Xenopus tropicalis: one gene and its partners. The protein of the gene in region 3 purifies or fractionates together with the protein of the main gene of each other region. This does not show direct contact. Links are inferred from orthologs where the notes say so. Each region holds a gene or a part of one and is shown on either strand. Other genes may lie near its edges.

Region 1 (5,779 bases), on a different chromosome or scaffold from region 3:
GAGGTAGTATTATGCAGGGAAGTTTAGTAGTCATTGTGCCTCATACCTGTGTGAATAGGGATTTCCCGCACCCCTTTGATGACATGGTTAATGTCTGGGGAGGGGGGTGGGGCCGGTTGGCTGACATGTGACCAGTGGGTGGGATTAATCTTGTATATAAAGTTTTATTGTATGTAATTTATATTAAGGGTATAACATCGTGAACAAGGTCTTAGACCATGACCGAAACGTTGATGTAAAGTTTAACATTTGGAATTGGAGTGCGCACAATCCTTGGAATATTGTATACATGGAACAACCGTTTTGCAGCACCCAGAGAAACTATGTGAAATATGAGTGATATGGGAGTGCGGACTATTCTGTAAATTTTATATATATATATATATATATATATATATATATTTTTTTTTTTTTTTTTTTTCCTTTCTACAGTTCAAAGGTTATCTCCAAAGACACACCGGCCGAGGTCTCCAAGGCTAGGAAGTCATGCACCAGGTTCAAATGTGTCATCACCCCAGCCTAGTACAGTACCTCCCGAGTCGGTTTCTATGCCAGTGCCTGCCGCATCCCCTACACCTGCTAGCCCTGCATCTAACAGAGCCGTTACTCCCTCTTGTGAAGGTACATTGTTGACATTTTACTATTTTATTTCTAGAAATTAAACTTTCTTGTTTAAAAACTTTTCTTGAACCAATTCTGTAAAATCTTTTAGGGTCAGTAGAAGACTGAAATGATGATGGGTCTGTTAGCTTAAAGACTACTGTGGGCCACGCACGGGCAAAATAAATTTGTGAATGTTAGAGTTCGCCATTTGATAAATATGCCCCTAAGGGTGATGGCATATGGTAGAGATTTGTTGCCTGCAGTAGTGCAGATTTAACCTTGGGCGACAAATCTTAACCTTAGATTGCCACAAGTAACAGGCTTTTCTTGCAGCAATCTTGACTTAATCATCTGGCTTTATATGAAGGGAGGCAGTTGGCCAAAGAAATGTTTGTTTCACTTGCAATCTGATCATAACCTTCATATCACCTCCCACATGGTAACTATAACCTCATTGTAACAATAGGTGTGGACTAAAGGTGGCCATATACAGGCAGATTTAAGCTGCTAATTCTAGACCTTTAGATCGTTTCGCCAGTTTATCTGCCCATGTATGGGGACCCCCGATAGCCCTACCTAACTGATATCTGGCTGAAAATTGGCCAGGTGTCGACTGGGCAGGTTTGATCCAAAGATCGAATTGGCCCAATATTGCCTACCTTAGGTGGGCATATTGGGGGGGAAAAGATCTTATCATATATGTCCACCTTAAGGATATGCAGAAAAAGCAATTGACCGGCACAACAAGTGTGATGCAAGCGGGGCTCCTGCGTGTTTATTTAAGAATAACAGCAATGTTTTGGGGGCGTACCCCTTCGTATCCTTAAGGATATGGGCACACAGACCTTTTGCTGAACTTCTCTTGGCCTGCGTTTTTTTCTGCAGGCTGAGAAGAGGAACAGCTCCCTTACGTATCTTTGTTTACTTGCACTTAGTACAGTTTCCATTTGAGTGCAAGTACGTGGAGTGGAGGTCAGCCTAAAAATGCCTGCTTTAGTGGTTTTCCAGCCTGACCACTCTATTTTACCTGGACTTGAGTGGAAGATGAACAGAGCTGCGTAAAGAGAACTGTAGTTTGTTCATAAGTAGGTAAAGCTAAATAGAATATGATCTGATCATGTTTGTGGGAGCAAAAATTACATTTCATAGGAAATGATCCATGTGTAGGGCTTTAAGATGAAGATAAACCTATTCCAATGTAAAACTTAATATGCAGTTTTTGACAATTTCTGGTCCTTATTTGTTGACGGTTAATGTCAGCGTATAGCCAGATTTAAAGAAGGTTATTAGTGTTAATAGCCCCAGACCGTAGTCATCTTTGTTCCTCCCATATGGTATATTGTCATTGTCTATCAACTAGCCCTGTAGCAGGCAGCTTAGCTACAGCTGCAATTATAAAGAATCAAATCTGTGATTTAGCCACAAGTTAGACATCTTTTAGCCTGGCATCTGCTTGTTGCTGTGAACAGTGACATATCAGAGGAAAAGCTAGTAGGCACACACTCTGTGAATGTCTGAGATATTGGATGATGCCAGAGAAAAGCTGTGTCAAGACTGCTCAGTTCTGTTGCTCATGCGCATTGGATCATTTCAAAAGCTGAGTTTGTATTCTGGTAGGTCGTGGTTTGTACGTTAGTTTTATCATGCAGAGGAGATTATAACCCTGTACTCTGACATTCCCTTTGTAGCTAAGGATTCAAGACTGCAAGATCAGAGGCAAAATTCCCCAGCTGCTTGCAGAGAAAATAGTAAACAAAGTGAATCTAGTTGTAGTAAAACTGAAAACAAAGGTAGGTTCAGTATGCTGTCTCATTGATTGGTTTGAATGTTCATAAGCAAGATAAGTGGGAAGTCGTAGTCAAATTCTTATGGTTATTGTTTGCATTCTTTATTATGTATTGTTTGTTTGGGCCTCCCCTCTTAAATTAGGAAAGTTTATTTCTTACATAAAAACATACACAGTGCATATTAACATCCAAAATTCTGGCTGAGATGTGAGTCAAAATTGTGTGCCAACAAACTTCACATTAATAGAACAATCTTTTTCCATTTACATAATAAAAATGTGCAGCTAAGAGGGATTTACCTCCGTCATCCTGCTGATCCCTCACTTCTGCACAGGTTTCCTTATATGATGTCATGCATAGTATTGGCAGCAGACTTAACTCCTATTGGCTGTGTTTCCTGTCAAATCGAAAATAACAGCATATCACAAATCTAACGCACGGAGTTAGTTTACCTATGTCATATCGAGGGAGAAATTAACCAATGACCTTTCAGATTATGCAGCTGGTTAGAGTGCACAAGCAACCAATGAATTGATCCAACAGGAAAAAAGTAAGGGCAAATCCTGAATGTGGTGATGTAAACGTATAGGAAATGTCAGGTTCAAAACAGGCCACGCCCATCCCTTTAGAAAACTGGTCAGACACCCAAGGACTGATTTAACAGGTATTTTATGGAAAATGGATTTTCTTCTAATACGCTGAGAGCATTGGTGGTGGTTTAATAATAAGATTTGAACATTGAAGGCGAGCAACACCTTTAAGAGTACACTAAATCTGTAAATTTTTAAGTTGTTTTTTCTGAATACTGTACAGTAGGATTCCCCAACATTTTTTACGCATGAGCCACACACAGATGCAAAAAGTGTTGGCAAACAACACAAGCATGAAAAAAGTTCATTGGAGATGTCAATAAGGGCTGTGATTGGCTATTTGGTTGCCCTATGTGGACGGCTAGCCTGTTAGATGCTCTGCTTGGAGTACAACTGTGTCTCTGTACTTCCAAAACGTGCAGCCAAGCCACAAATTTTTAATTTATACTTTAAGGCCACAGGGAGCAACATGAAAGGGGTGGCGAGCAACATGTTGCTCACAAGACACTTCGTTGGGATCATTGCTGTACAGGTATGGGAACGGTTATCCAGAAAGCTCTGAACCACTGGAAGTCTCTCTCTTATAGACTGCATTTGAATCTAATAATTCAAATTTTTTTTTTTTTGTCTATTTTAATAATAAAATGGTACCTTGGGAATCTCAACTAAAATATAATAAGCTATAAGAGATAATAATCCTTATTGGGGGCAAAACAATCCTATTGTGTTTAATGTTTAAATTTATTTTTGGGTTGACTAAAGGTATAACGATAAGTTTCCATACCTGTACTGAGTTCAAACCCTAATTTGGGTATTCTGATTTGAGGAAAATTGCGTTGGTTGTGGAAAAAACTTGTCATGTTAAGAATTTTCCTTTAGCGAAAGAGCTCTAAAATAAAAAAGCACAACGTGAAATTTTTTTTTTTTTTAGCAGATGTCTTGGGGGACATGAGCTGAAAATGAAGTTGCATTTAAAATTTAAAAGGGATCTATAGAAAAAATTAAAATTTTAAGCCTCACCTGACTGAAATACTATGCTTCTAATCAATTAAAAATTCTGTTCTGTTTCTGAAATTACTAAGTTACTCTTCAACCTCTCCTCTCATCATTTGTCTCCATTCTCTCTCTTCATGCAGTAGGTTGTCTGGTTTTGATTTAACAGTGGAATAAACCTACTTGTATTATAATGTAGCCACTTTATACCTCCTTAATATTGGAGTTATTACATTACACAGATATGGGATCTGTTATCTGGAAACCCAGATATTCAGAAAGTTACAAATTATGGGAAGGCCATTTTCCATAGACTCCATTTGAATGAAATAAATCAAAATTTAAAAGATTTACCCTTTCTCTGTTATAATAAACCTGTACCTTGTATAATATATAATTAATACTTATTGGGGCAAAACAATCCTATTGGGTTTAATGTTTAAATGATTCAATTTTAAATGTTACTGTTCCTTTATGTCTAGTAAAAAATAATAATTTATGGCAATATAATGTACTGTGCCCCTGCAGTGGTAAAAACTGTTTTGCTTCATGACTATAGTTTATTAAAAAAAAAAAGAAATTGCCATGAAGGCAGCTATTCAAGCACATGATACATAGTAAATAAGCTGTGCAGAAGCAGAATCCCACTGTATACTACAGAGCTTATCTGGTATGTGCTATGTAACCTGTGTCTTTACTCCTTTTCCAGCTTGAATGGCTGCCTCCATGGCTAACCAGCAGCTTATTTATATAAACTAAAGTTTCTAAAGCAAAGGCACTAGTTGTACCAGTGCAGTCCAACAGTACATTATATTTTAATTACTGAAAAACACTTTCATTTTTTGGTGTTTCTGTTCCTTAAAGGTATGGAGATCCAAATTATGGAAAGACCCCTTATACAGAATGCTTGGGACATGGAGCTTTCTGGATAACAGGTCACATACTAGTAGTCCATGTAGAATCTATTTCACTAACCATTTAATAACATTTACAGAGACTTTGAACATGTTTATATTTCCCTCCCTACTTAAATTAATTAACTTAGATTTTCTTGTTTTAAACTAGTATCTCCAATGGCTTCCGAACAAAGGAAACAGCTTGATGATTTAAAGAAATTTAAAAATGATTTTAGGGTAAGTTTCATGGACTTTTTTTTTTTTTTTTTGTACAATTTTATATCTCAAAGGTTATGCTGCATTCAGCACATATGCACACCATCTTGGACCCTATTTCACAACTGTCTTTGTCTTTAATGTAGAATTGAGAGGCACTTACTATGAGATGCTCATCCTCAAATTATCTTTTTCACTTTTATTATTATTGCTAAGTTAAGCTACAGACCCTGGAAAATCTCTAAAGCTGTGTTTCTAAACATTGCTGTATAAAACTCCCAAGGCCTGTAGGGCTGCTTTACATGGGAATTCCTACGCTTCCATATTCTTCTGTCACTATATAAATTTAAGGCATATTGAGTTATTTCCAACTCTACTCTGCAGAATTTTAAGGGCATATGTCCTGCTGACAATGTATTTTTTTATGCTTATTATCCCCATTACATCTTGAGGTACTAAGGTAGTAATACAGTCTGTCATTTCACTTAACCCTGTATGTGCTGCATTTTTTCTTTAAAGCAAAACTATACCCTTGGACATTGAAGGTCTGTCTAAAAATAATGCATCGTCTAAATAAACCATTTGAGAGTTCATTTTCCATTTATATTTAAATTAAATATTTTTTGCCACAGGTAACATATCTACACACATCTGCAATCTGCTTATGAAAGATCCTCTTTAATAGGCAATTATT
Region 2 (5,779 bases), on a different chromosome or scaffold from region 3:
ACAAATCTTTAGAAAGCCGTGGGGCTGCAATACTTCACAGCACTGGTGATCAGCACACAGGTAAAGGGCAAAGATTTTTACAGAGTGTCCTCCTTTTTCATGTATATCGGTGTGCTGGGCTGTGCTATAAAATTTAGTTCACCAAATCCTGCATTTTCACCTTATACACATTACCACTAATACTAAAGACACATGAAATTAAAAAAAACTTCATAAAATGAAAAGCTTTACGGCATTATAGAAAACATTACGATAACATTAATTCCTTACCCTAGAGAACAGTGTGTTGAGGCAGTGAACTTTCTGCCGTTCAGTCACATAGGCATAATATTGCGTTACTCCCTTCAGCGTTAATTCCTCCATCAGGTTAATCTCATAGGGTTTTTGCAAATGGGAAGTCTATAATAAAAATTGTTATGGAATTAGCATGTAGCATAGAAAAATAGGAACAAAATTCTTAAATTGCCAAAAAACTGCTTGAATCAAGATTTGTAGCTGGGATCTGACCAGCACCTAATGTAGCGGTGGTTTAAAATTCAGGTGGTGGCCACTGGCTCAGACTGTGCTACACCTGAGCTTTCCTGCAGACTTCAATGTAACAGCATTATAAAGAGTCAATATATTAAAGTCCCCATAAAGTTAAGTCTACTCAAAAGTATACAGACATACAAAGTAGAAGGTAGAAGTTTCTACTGCAAGCAGGGCCAGACTGGGCCACCGGGAAAAATCCCGGTGGGCCCTGGCAGCCCAGACCCGACCCTTGCCAGTGCTCCCCCTGCCGTGTTAAAATTATGCGTTTGGGGGATGATGTCGGGTGGGGGGGCCCTGCGAGAGGGTTAGGGGGGCCCCTGGGGTGGGAGCACCGGTGGGCCCTTCACCCCCCAGTCCAACCCTGACTGCAAGAAGTTTAACAGCCATGGATTTTACTGCTAGAAATGCTTTTAGGTAACCTGTTTTTTCTTACTCCCATGTAACTGGAGGAGTCTCAAGCAAGCCTTGATTTTCTTAAGGTGGCCCCATACACCAAGATCTGCTTGCTTGGCGACGTCACTATGGCAACATCTAAATGTTTCCACTGGAATGGGCAAAGATAGGAGAGTCAGCGATGACATTTGGTAGGGTCATGTAACCCAAATATCTCAATCCAGGCATAGATTAAGATTACTGCACGTGGAGGGCTTGGGGACTCCTAACTCCACATGCGTAAACCAGATTTTCAAAACTAAAAAACTTTGATCTCTGCAATCATGGCTTCAATATTTTTTGAGTTGATTGTACATTACAAACAAAGTTGAGGAGGCCAAGAGGCAGGTTGCTGGTAAGCACATGTATACATAATGGCCATCAGATTTTAGAGCTCAGTTATACAAATATTAGAACAGCAAACAGATCTGCTCTTATTGGCCATGTTTGATCAGAAGACATGCCTTCCTCCTAAGTAGGTTTTTTGTTCTAGACATGCCTCTGCTTTGTTTTTATTTAGTGCATACCTTCGCTACATCTTCCATCTCTTACTTTAAAGTCAATTAAATACTTATCTTGTGGCTTGGGTGCTTTAAGACATATATTCGGATTAGCCACCTGTTCTCTCTAAAGAAATCTGCACTTGAATTCCAGCAGCAACCCCATGTTATAAGGCAGAATTGTTTATATGTACTACTGAATAGGTTTCATCCTTTCTAGCAGCAGAGTTCATAGTAAAACAAAACTACCACTGGAATTCAGAGCGCAGATTTCTTCAGAAAGACAGTGCAAAAATGAAGGGCAGGACTTTGGCAAGCTTAGTCACTGTTCATTTGTTTATGAAAAAGTCCGTTACCTATGGGAAACAGTAACTCCCATCTTGCAATTCGGCCTGGACTCTGAGAACAGATCTCTGTGCAACTGACTAGTAAACATGTTCTATAGGTAAACAACTTCATTTTTTTGGGGATTTATTCACTGGAAGAGTGACCCATTAACTATATATACTAACAAGTCACACAAAGGACAAGTTGCAAACATGAATCTGAACCAAAATAATAGAGTTCTGTACTTGCCATAAACTTCTGAACACTGAGGGGAAATGTGGCTGAGTAAAGTAGAATCTGTCTGTTTTTAGGTAGCGTGATAATTATATCCTCCATTATTTGCACAAAATCCTGAGACAGTAGTTTGTCTGCCTACAAAAAAAAAAAAAAAGTTGGCAGAAAATAGTTAACATTTATAATTTACCATAACTAAAATAGTCATTTATAAACATGAAAGTAACAAAATTAAAAAAAAAAAAAAGCACTATTTGACACATTTATATGTGAATACTTTTACATTTAGATACAAATTGTCCTTTATGAAAAAGTAATAGCTGTAACACTTCTAGACAAACAGCTTTAAATCTTAGTCTGGAGCCTGAAGCTAAAACTTCAATTAAAAAAAAAAAATCTTACTTGTTTGACAGAGCAGCCAGATTTTTATTGTAATTATTAATCATCTATAAGTCAATTATTCAAATTACTATATTGTTGCTAGGATCAGTGGAATCTCCTGTGCTTCTGCAAATACAATGTGTGGTGTACAGTAATACCAGCACTGCTAAAATATTTCTATGACTGCAGGCAAGGAGGGCACAGACTTTAAAATGTATATTAAAAAAAAAAAAAAAAAAAAAAAAAGAGCGAGTGCTAAAATAGCCTGTGAAAAACACCGGAGCAGTCTAATTGTAACACTATAGATTAAATGCTTTACCTCATCCAACACGATCATCTGGATATGGTCTACTTTAGCCACACCTTTTTTAATGAGATCCAGAATCCTGCCAGGAGTTGCTATTACTACATGTACTAGAGAAGGGGAAAACACTCATGTTATTACATTTCATTATATGCATTTTATAGACTCTTTGTTCTATGCAAAAAAATATTTAAAGCTAAAAGCAGTTATCTACTTGCAATAAAGTCATTCTGAAAGTTATTCAAACTTCTTTACCTGTATCATCAAGCCTCATTATATCATCTCTCAGATTTGTGCCCCCTGTTGTCGCCATGACTTTGACCCCGCCCATGTGCTTGCTGACCTGGATGCAAATCTGACTGACCTGTAGTGCCAGTTCTCGAGTAGGAACAATCACCATTGCTACATGGAGAAGAGATGGAAACATAGAACACATTAAAATTGTAACATGCATGAGTGACTTTAGCATCTATAGCCTCAACAGCACCAAACTGTCTTCATGTATACATTATAATTGTCTAACCTATCAAGTCATCTCATGGGATTAATTTGGTTCCTTCACAAGTAAACTTAAGGTACCCTCTAAGTGGTGCAGGTGCCAGTTAGCTTACAGAGAAATGGGCAGTAAAAATTGTGGCAAGACAAACCAGTAAAACTCTGATGTGTTAATCACTGGTCAACAAGTTCTTGTGTGGAACCACAATAAAGTGGCATCCTAACCTCATGTAAAAGTTGCAGAACTGAAAGTAAACAGGAGAGGGTTCCCACTTCTGACATTGCGCGTGTGACTGCTTGGTGGTTGGGGCCTTTTATCCCAGAAGGGAAAGAGGCCTACTAGAACGGTTTCAAGACTAAGGGGGCGTTATTTATTGACACTGGAGACAAACTTCACTGGTGATGCTGCCCATAGCAAGAAATCAGATCTTTGCTTATGTTTTCTGAAGCTTGCTATACACGTTATGATTTTTAATAGATCTTTTCGTTATTGTAGGATCAGCTTATCCTGAAACTATCATTTGAAAGCACAATTTGTCCAACTAAATGACCATTTCAAGCAATATTGTCTAGTTGAAGCTATGAAAACTACCCTGCTTGGTCCTATAAACAATTGGACAATGGGCAAAAGAAAATTTTTTAAACCATCTGACCTTTTTTTCTGACTGGACCAGATATGCTGGATGAAAAAATGCTAGATGTGCAATTGTATGGTGCCCACTAACCTTATGATAATTTGCTGGATCGCACTGAAATTGGTCATTAAGTTGCAGGTGACTGTTCAAATCTAATTACTGACTGGTTGCTATAGGCAACATCACCAGTTTTTTCACTAGAAGATACTTTCCCTTCGAAACTTGCCTTGTATACAGTCCTTCTTTAGGTCTAGCCGTTCAAGTAAGGGAATGAGGTAGGCTCCACTCTTGCCAGTTCCATTTTTTGCTCTAGCCAAGATATCCCTACCGGACAATGCAATGGGAATGCTCTCCTCCTAAAAAAAAAAAAAAAAAAAAATTATGATACATATATCTCAGAACTGTGCGAATGTTTAACAGACTGGTTACTTTTAGAAGACCATTTTATACCAACCTGTATTGGAGATGGTTTCTCCCATCCCATTTCAAATATCCCCATGAGCAGCTCTCTTTTTAAACAGTAATCTTCAAATTCATTTCCTTTTGTGGAGGTGACATCCTGGGTGACAGGTTTAGGAAAAGATTAGTTTATTTTGTATATATGATTTAGATCCCAGATTTCCCTCCAGAGGGACACTTACAAACAACCTATGGTTGAAAAACTTTACTGGTACTCCCAATAGAATCTTTGTTAGAATATGCCCACTGCTCGTAACAATCTCTGTGAAGATGCACAAACTAGGATGTGGGTAGCCAATTCCAGCTTTGCTGGTCACCTTCGCCTAATTGCCAATAGTCTGCCATACTACAAATGAAAGTGGTGGAGCAGTTGGCTGGTGCAAGGGAATTATTCAGAAAAACAGTACAAAATCATCCAGATTGGTTAAAAGCAAATTTATTCTATGTGAGGTACTGACAAGTTTGTACCCTTTTTGTGTTATAAAGGATGCTAGCTTAAAAAAAAAAAAAATCTTTTGCATCTCACCGAAGTCTTGATTCTAAGGTCTTTTGGAGGGAGTTTTAATGTCTTCTTCCAGTCATCACCAGGTCTGCAAGTAAACAAAATAGTTCAAATGTATTATTAAACATCAGTAAAATGTATGATGGCACATATTTGCGTTATAAGTTATTCCTATACATGAACATTTGTAGATTACCCTAACAATAGACTGTGCTATTATGTGCTTATTATGGCCAGAGCATATTTGACCACAGACATTTGATGTAATGGATTTGTGGCCCAATGTATGAAAAGGGTGCAGACAAAACCAATATAGAGTTTTGCTTTGAAGACCACTTCTGGCCACTATTTAAAGGCAAGTCATGTCAGCAGTTGTAAATGCATGTCTGTAATAACTATGCAGTTCAATTTTAATAACAAGCGCCATATACTACAAAGTGCTACTACACAAACCTGCAGAAGATTCCAAGATGACTAAGCAATTGTACAAAAGACTAGACATTACAAATACACATCTCAGGACACTTCCATTATTATGAATAGCATGTTTTGTTTTCTTAAAAATAAAACATGGATAAACCAGAGGCCCAAATAAGGTTTTTATAAGTGGTGATAAAACAAAGGTAGAGTATACTCACTTTATAACGCTGCTCATGCTCTGTGCTTGCTGCTGACTGCCACTGTTGATTGTGCTGGCATTTTTCAGCTGGTTTATTTGTTGTGTCTGTGTCCCCCCACCTCCAGGCCCTGCACTGGGTTTCAATGGGCCTCTTAGCTGCCCATTCTGGCTGGACATACCCATTAAAACAGGGTTCTCGGTTCTGGCGGTGCTCATTTTGTTTTGTATTTAATTAAATTGTCCCTTTGAAGGTGTGTCTTTTCAGCTTCACAAGGTTTAAAGTCAGTACAGAGACTGTAATAAGTTTATTTGACTCTTCGAAATGAAGAGATAAAGTCTTGCTCAATATATGAGTCTTTG
Region 3 (6,224 bases):
TGCCTGGGCCATAGCATAGCCCTCACCAAAAGGTAATGTGGAAGTCCACATTCTGTTCTCTTTAGAGTGAGCCCTAGGCCGGATGATTTCAGACCATTTGAATGAAAAAGGCTAACAATCAGGATGGTTTGACTCAGACAGGCAATAAGAATATCATAGCCTTCCATTCTAGAGGAACTGTAGCAGAACCAAAGGCAGATCCCTGACCTAGAATGTGTGCCACAGGGCTCTGATGCAATACTTACAGCTTCACTGCAACACTGCTTTATTCTCTCTTATCAGCTCTCTGCACTCATAGATAAGTTAAGTGGCATATCCCATGGGCCACCATTAGGGGAGTACAGGGGGTAATGTAGTGAGGGGCCCTGTGGCAAAAGGAGACCCCATGATGGAAAAGCTTTATTCACAGGTCAAGAAATAAGCCAGGGCTTGTGGCAAAGTGGGCAAAGTTTGGAAGGCCCACGTGCAGAGTTTGGCATAACTGGGATGTAGCTGGTGGAGATGAGGGATGGAGTGTGGCATAATTGGGAAGTGGTCAGGGTGAATCAGGAGTGTGAATCATGCATACAAGTTGTTGATAGGCCAGGGGGGCAGGTAAATAATGACTAATAACTGGGGCCCTCTGCTAATGTAGCACTGATGGTGACCTGTATATACAGTTCTAGTGCTAGTTCTGCTGCATATATACAGGATCCTTTATAGTTACACCCCATCCTTTTATATAATATTTGTTTTATTGGTGTGATGCAAATAAGCACTTTGCAGTACAAACACCAGTGTATCAGTATATGGCATCACTTGGCACAGTATTTAGTGATGGGCATGGTACCAGGTACCTATCTGGTTCTATGTATTATTCCCATATGTTGCTTTATTGTGTATCCAGGTTTGCCACCATGCGAAATCATGGAGCCCATACCTGTCAACTCCCCTGGGCTCACCCCCTGCACTCCCATGATTATATGCCATTCCCCCATTTTCTTACAATTTCTTACTGCATGTGCAGTGAGCATTCAGTTACATGGAAAGGGCCCTTACAAAAGGCCACGGCCCCAACCAAATAGGCCACATACATATTTTTTATCAACTTATTCCCAGCTAACTGCATTAGGAAACTAGCATCTCTGGGGGCCCTATGCTATTTAGAATGTGCCTCCCCCTCTAGGGAGTCAGCGTTATAAGCCCACCTGGGCTCCCTGTGTTATAGGCTCTACCTATTAAGTAGAAGGTGGATTCAATGTAAAAAATAATGTTCACTCACCAACAGAACAACCATGACCCATTACACTCAAACCTGCTCCATAATCCACCCAAAACCTGTCCATCCACTCTGCAAACCCATTTTAGCAGTCAGTAGGGCAATTGTGTCCACCAAGGCTCCACTGCTGTTATGGGGCCAGAGATGGACCAAGTAGTATCTGTTCCCATTGCAATAATACTTGCCCCCCAACTCATGCTCATATGCCCTCAGGCATAGTCAGCCCCACTTCATTACTAAGTCCCCTATGCAGCTCTTCCCTTACTTAGTCCTTCCATTTGAACCCCACCCCACCCAGTGGCACCCAAAGCATGTGCCTGTGAATACCCCTGAAAGGACTCCCACCTGTCCTCCCATTGCACCCATCTGTTGTACAGTACTGCAGCCCGTATGATAACAAATGTAATGTAACAATTCATGCCAGTACCAAACTTGGGCACCAGTCAGGCCTCATCAAATGCTAGAAGAAACCAACTGGAGACAAGGAGATTCAAGCTCTTTATAGAACAGCCTACATATCAGTTATAGTTCAGCAGGCTCAGCCCAGACTACAGTACAGTAACAGCGAGTCTATTGTCAGGTTCGGTAAAAGCCGAGACAGCACATGAACGGCTGCTCCTCACTCACTAACAGAGACAGCCCTTGGCTACTTGCCGCTAGAGGTGCAGACTGTACAGACTTCGCTGCCCAAACATTACACAATACATTAGATAACGAGTCAGACAGCTCTGTGCCAAGTGCTGCGTTCTCTTTAAGAGATTGAGGGGGGGCGTGTCCCGCAGCCCATGCCTTCTTAAAGAGCCAGCTGGTCCAGTCAAAAGTCACTGCCACTCTTCTGATCCCAGTGTTATCAGGGGCATCCGATTCTGCTATTGCCCCAGTCATCGCACTGCTGCCATGTACACCATAACCAGAGGGCCCAGCAAGCTAACCACCCAGAGGAGAACAGGTAGGGGCTGTCCGTGCGATTCCTAACGCTGCTGCGTCTCAATTGCATAACCATCATCTGTAGAATAACCTACAGGTACAGGGAAATTGCACGTGTGTAACCTTATGGCATGCTGATAAACTACAATTCCCGACATCCTCCCATATCCTTTGGCTGATAGATAGGAATACTGCTGGGAGTTGTTGTTAGACATATGAAAGGCCATCAGTTAGCTGGATCGCTTTCTGCTTGCACTGGGACACCGTGCAATCTGCCCAGGCAGCTCCCATGCCTTTCTACTGCCCCTCTGAAGGGTTAATAGCATGCTAAGGGGAGATCGTACCAGGGCCCAGATATGTGTCTGCCATTCTATTATAGGCTGTGCGTCCCTGAGCCCTAACATTGTACTCAATGCGCACATCCTACAGCCTGCCTGGGTTCCCTATACACTGTGCGGCGCACATATGCGTCAATCCCACCCGTGTATAATGCAGCCAGCCTTGGCTTTACGAGTATGTGAAAAATATTATATACGCACAGGTTCATTATGTGGGTGCTGCTGTTAAACTACAAGACTACAATCCCCAGCATGCTTTAGCACTAGGCGCAATGGTTGGGGATTCTGGGAATTCTAGTTCTGCTGCAGCTCCTTCTCAAGGAGAGCGCTATGAGGCTCTGAGAGTCAGCGGCACTGGGCGTTTATTCATACAGGGTATAACAAGACTCTCTATGGCGTTACTGCCACTGCCTTATCTGACTACAACCCATGTATGTCCTTCCCAGGCCCCAAGCAGCAGATTGACAGCAAACTGCAAGAACTGAAGAACAAGCAGCAGCTTCTCATCCCCAATACACCTAACGGCTGGGACTCCCCTCCAAGGTCAGCTAACTCTTCATTGCCATAGTGTCATGGTGTGAATGTTGGGTGCGGAGCTGCCATGGTGCTGCCCCCCCACCTCTCCTCACGGTACTGTACTGCTCCTTACGCTGCCGCTGCGTGACCTTGTGCAGAGGTGACCATGTGCCCGGTGTCATTGTCACATGACCGGCTTGGAAGGGAGGTGTGTTTGTGAGGGGCGGGGCCAGACGGGTGGGTGTGATACGGGGCTGTTTAACCCATTACTATCTCGACGCGCTGTATTTTGATCGCCGCTTACAGCTATTTTCTAGATTAGCATGTGTACCGCAAGTGAGACGCTACTGATTAAGGTTTCTTCTACAGGAAGTGGGAACCTATAGCTGTCACTGCCCCACAGTCACCACAACCCCAAACTGCTACTGAGGATTGCGGCATGGCGAGAGGTGTAGTTCAGCAATGGTCAAAAAGCCATAGGTTGCCCTTATCTGTTCTGTAGCAGTGCTGTAAAACTATAGATCTCTGCAGGACTGCAAGGGCAAAGGGTATTAGTCATGGGGGTCCCTCAACCAGGGCGATTGTAGCTAAGAGGATGGAGGGGTCTAGCAAGACTAGTTATCCAATGTGGGGCCCACACTGGGCTAAATATCTAGGGGGACAAATGGCCTGCAAAAAAGTTTCAGTACAGTAAATGCAGGCCTGTAGGACACTAGTTATTGTACTGGGCAGCTATAATGGCATACAGGTGATTCTGCAATCAGTGTCACCCGTTTATCTCAAGGTGGAAGCTACTCCATTTTTTTTTTTAAACTTTTTAGTTTGCTAGTGATTGCAAAATAATTAGTCAGGTTAGCAGTGCACAAAAGTACCCCTGCATTATGGACTAATGTCACAACAAAGAGAGGGGTTTGTTTATACAGAGCTCAAGTATTTCTAGCTAAAACAACTCAATTATAGGTAAGATAGTAAGTGTGAAAGCAAGATAATACATTACTGCTTTATAATAGAAACCTTTAATAAATAATAGATTTTTTCAATGAAAAGAATAATCAGAATGTATTATTATATCATTAACATTTATTTATAAAGTGCCAACATATCCCGCAGCGCTGTACAATAAGTGGGTTACATACATTGGACATACAGAGTAACATATAAAGCAATCAATAACCGATACAAGAGGTGAAGAGGGCCCTGTCCAAAAGAGCTTACACGCTAAAAAGTTATAGCTTCCTTTCTGTTGGTTTTGTTGTTTATGTAGGTATAATGTCTTATTAAATAATGGGAAGGGAGCATGCTGTGGCAGGTATCTTGAACTACAGCTCCCAGCATCCTCCTGACAACCCAATGCAATCATTTTTTTTTCTTTTAGCTGTAGTCAGTTATGATATTATTTTGTCAGTGATTTGTGGTGATTTTTCAGCCCTGTATCTCTGTGTATTATGTGCTGGCCCGCCCCGCTACCTGCCTGGTGTCCGAGGTTCTGATTGCTATGAATGGCATGTTTTGGTCTGCAGGACAAACCTACATTATTTCTGTGGGGGAGGAGAATTTCTCTCAGATTTGTAAGAGAACAGGGCAGGGTACATTGTGTTGTGCAGCACCTTGGGTGTGTGCCCAGTGCCAGTCATTGATATACCTGAGGGCTATGCAACGCACGGGGATTTTGGGTGCCACTTGGACTGAGGCCGAGTAGCCGTGCTTTTAAGCACTTCACGTGCCATTAGGGTGCTAATTTGATGTATCCCTGACATGAAGTTATTTGACATGGCCGCTTCCCTAAAGTGGTCTGACCCTGTTAGTGACCTTCTGTGTGTCCTTGAGATGGCTCCGCCCCCTCTGCCTCATGGTTTCATAGGGATTGAACTTTGACCTCATGTTTTGAGATATTTTACTTTAGAGCCAATTGTACGAGTTGGCTCCATTACGGTGACTCCTCTCAGTGCCACAGACTGGGATTTCTAGTCAGGGAGGTAAATTCCTGTTGGAAGATGAGTTAAATCACATGACAAAAATCCAGTTTTTTTTTTTTTTTTAGGGTAAAATTACACATTTATCACAAGGTATGTTACCAGCTACCTGGATGACCCAGCCTTAAAGGAGTACTTTACCTTTAAATTACCTTTAGTGTGAAATTCTGAGTTTGCAATTGGTCTTCATTTTTTATAAATTTTTCATACATTTAGCTTTTTATTCAGCAGTTTCCAGCTTGGTATTTGAGCAGCTATCTGGGTGCTAGGATCTTATTGCCATAGCAATCAGGCAGTGGTTTGAATAACAGACTGGAATAAGAATACGATGGGGACTGAATAGAAGGATAAGTAATACAAGATAACAATAATAATACAATTGTTGCCTCAAAGAGCCATCAATTTTTTTTTTGCCTGCTGGCAGGGTCGGACTGGGGGCCCCACACCCCCCAAGGTGCCTCCTCCGGCCATGTCCCCTGCAGGAGCCCCCACCGCGCACCCCTAAATTCCCCCCCACAGGGGCCCCTGTCTGACGTCCTCCCCTAAACACATATGTGAAACGTGTCAGGGGAGGACATCGGAGGCCAGAGGAAGCAGCAATAGGGTCGGGTCCGCTGGGGCCCACCAGGGCTCGGGGCCATCGGGTTTTTCCCGGCGGCCCAGTCCAACCCTGCCTGCTGGGGTTACTCCCATCTGAAAGCTGGAAAGAAGTAAAAGATAAAGCCAAATTACTCAGAAACTAGAAAGAATAAATAATGAAGACCATTGCATTTGTGTGACATTGGTGTCAGTCATAGCCTGTCACATGTAGGGTGCCTGATGTCACTTCAGTGGGTGACGCCAGTTCCACCGGAAGTGATGTTACATGTGCCTGCGATTGCCATGGGAACCCTCACCCCACAGCTCTGCCGGTGGATTTGGCCAGGAAGCATCTGGCTCCTGCGGAGGGGTTTTATTCTTTTTTTTATCTTTATTATCAATTGTATATCCACCCAATGGTAACCCCAGGCACAGGCCCTCTGCTGCCTCGTATATATATATAGGAGTGCTCAGAAAGCAAAAGCTGCTGTTCAGCTACTTGTAATAGAGAAACAAAATAAAAATGCATGCAGGAAGAAAGGTAAGTTATTCTGGGGGCGCTGGTTTGTGATCCTTCAGACACCAAGTATCCCCTTTTCTTCTTAATTTGGTTCTCCTTTGTATCTACAGCAG

The links.
Region 1: the proteins of mcrip2 (region 3) and atxn2 purify together in Homo sapiens (co-immunoprecipitation; 3 studies listed by BioGRID and IntAct, with this or other methods). This does not show direct contact. The link is inferred for Xenopus tropicalis from reciprocal best matches to the Homo sapiens genes MCRIP2 and ATXN2.
Region 2: the proteins of mcrip2 (region 3) and ddx6 purify together in Homo sapiens (co-immunoprecipitation; 5 studies listed by BioGRID and IntAct, with this or other methods). This does not show direct contact. The link is inferred for Xenopus tropicalis from reciprocal best matches to the Homo sapiens genes MCRIP2 and DDX6.

What each region holds. Positions count from the first base shown.
Region 1 is NC_030677.2:163,126,943-163,132,721, forward strand, and holds part of atxn2 (ataxin-2), read left to right. Parts: intron 1-432; coding exon 433-621; intron 622-2,291; coding exon 2,292-2,393; intron 2,394-5,038; coding exon 5,039-5,106; intron 5,107-5,779. UniProt on the Homo sapiens protein: Involved in EGFR trafficking, acting as negative regulator of endocytic EGFR internalization at the plasma membrane.
Region 2 is NC_030683.2:80,841,860-80,847,638, forward strand, and holds part of ddx6 (probable ATP-dependent RNA helicase ddx6), read right to left. Parts: 5' UTR 5,636-5,779; coding exon 5,439-5,635; intron 4,889-5,438; coding exon 4,825-4,888; intron 4,399-4,824; coding exon 4,294-4,398; intron 4,196-4,293; coding exon 4,066-4,195; intron 3,112-4,065; coding exon 2,965-3,111; intron 2,820-2,964; coding exon 2,725-2,819; intron 2,163-2,724; coding exon 2,040-2,162; intron 400-2,039; coding exon 271-399; intron 1-270.
Region 3 is NC_030685.2:21,688,158-21,694,381, reverse strand, and holds the start of mcrip2 (protein FAM195A), read left to right. Parts: upstream 1-2,116; 5' UTR 2,117-2,155; coding exon 2,156-2,207; intron 2,208-2,969; coding exon 2,970-3,066; intron 3,067-6,221; coding exon 6,222-6,224.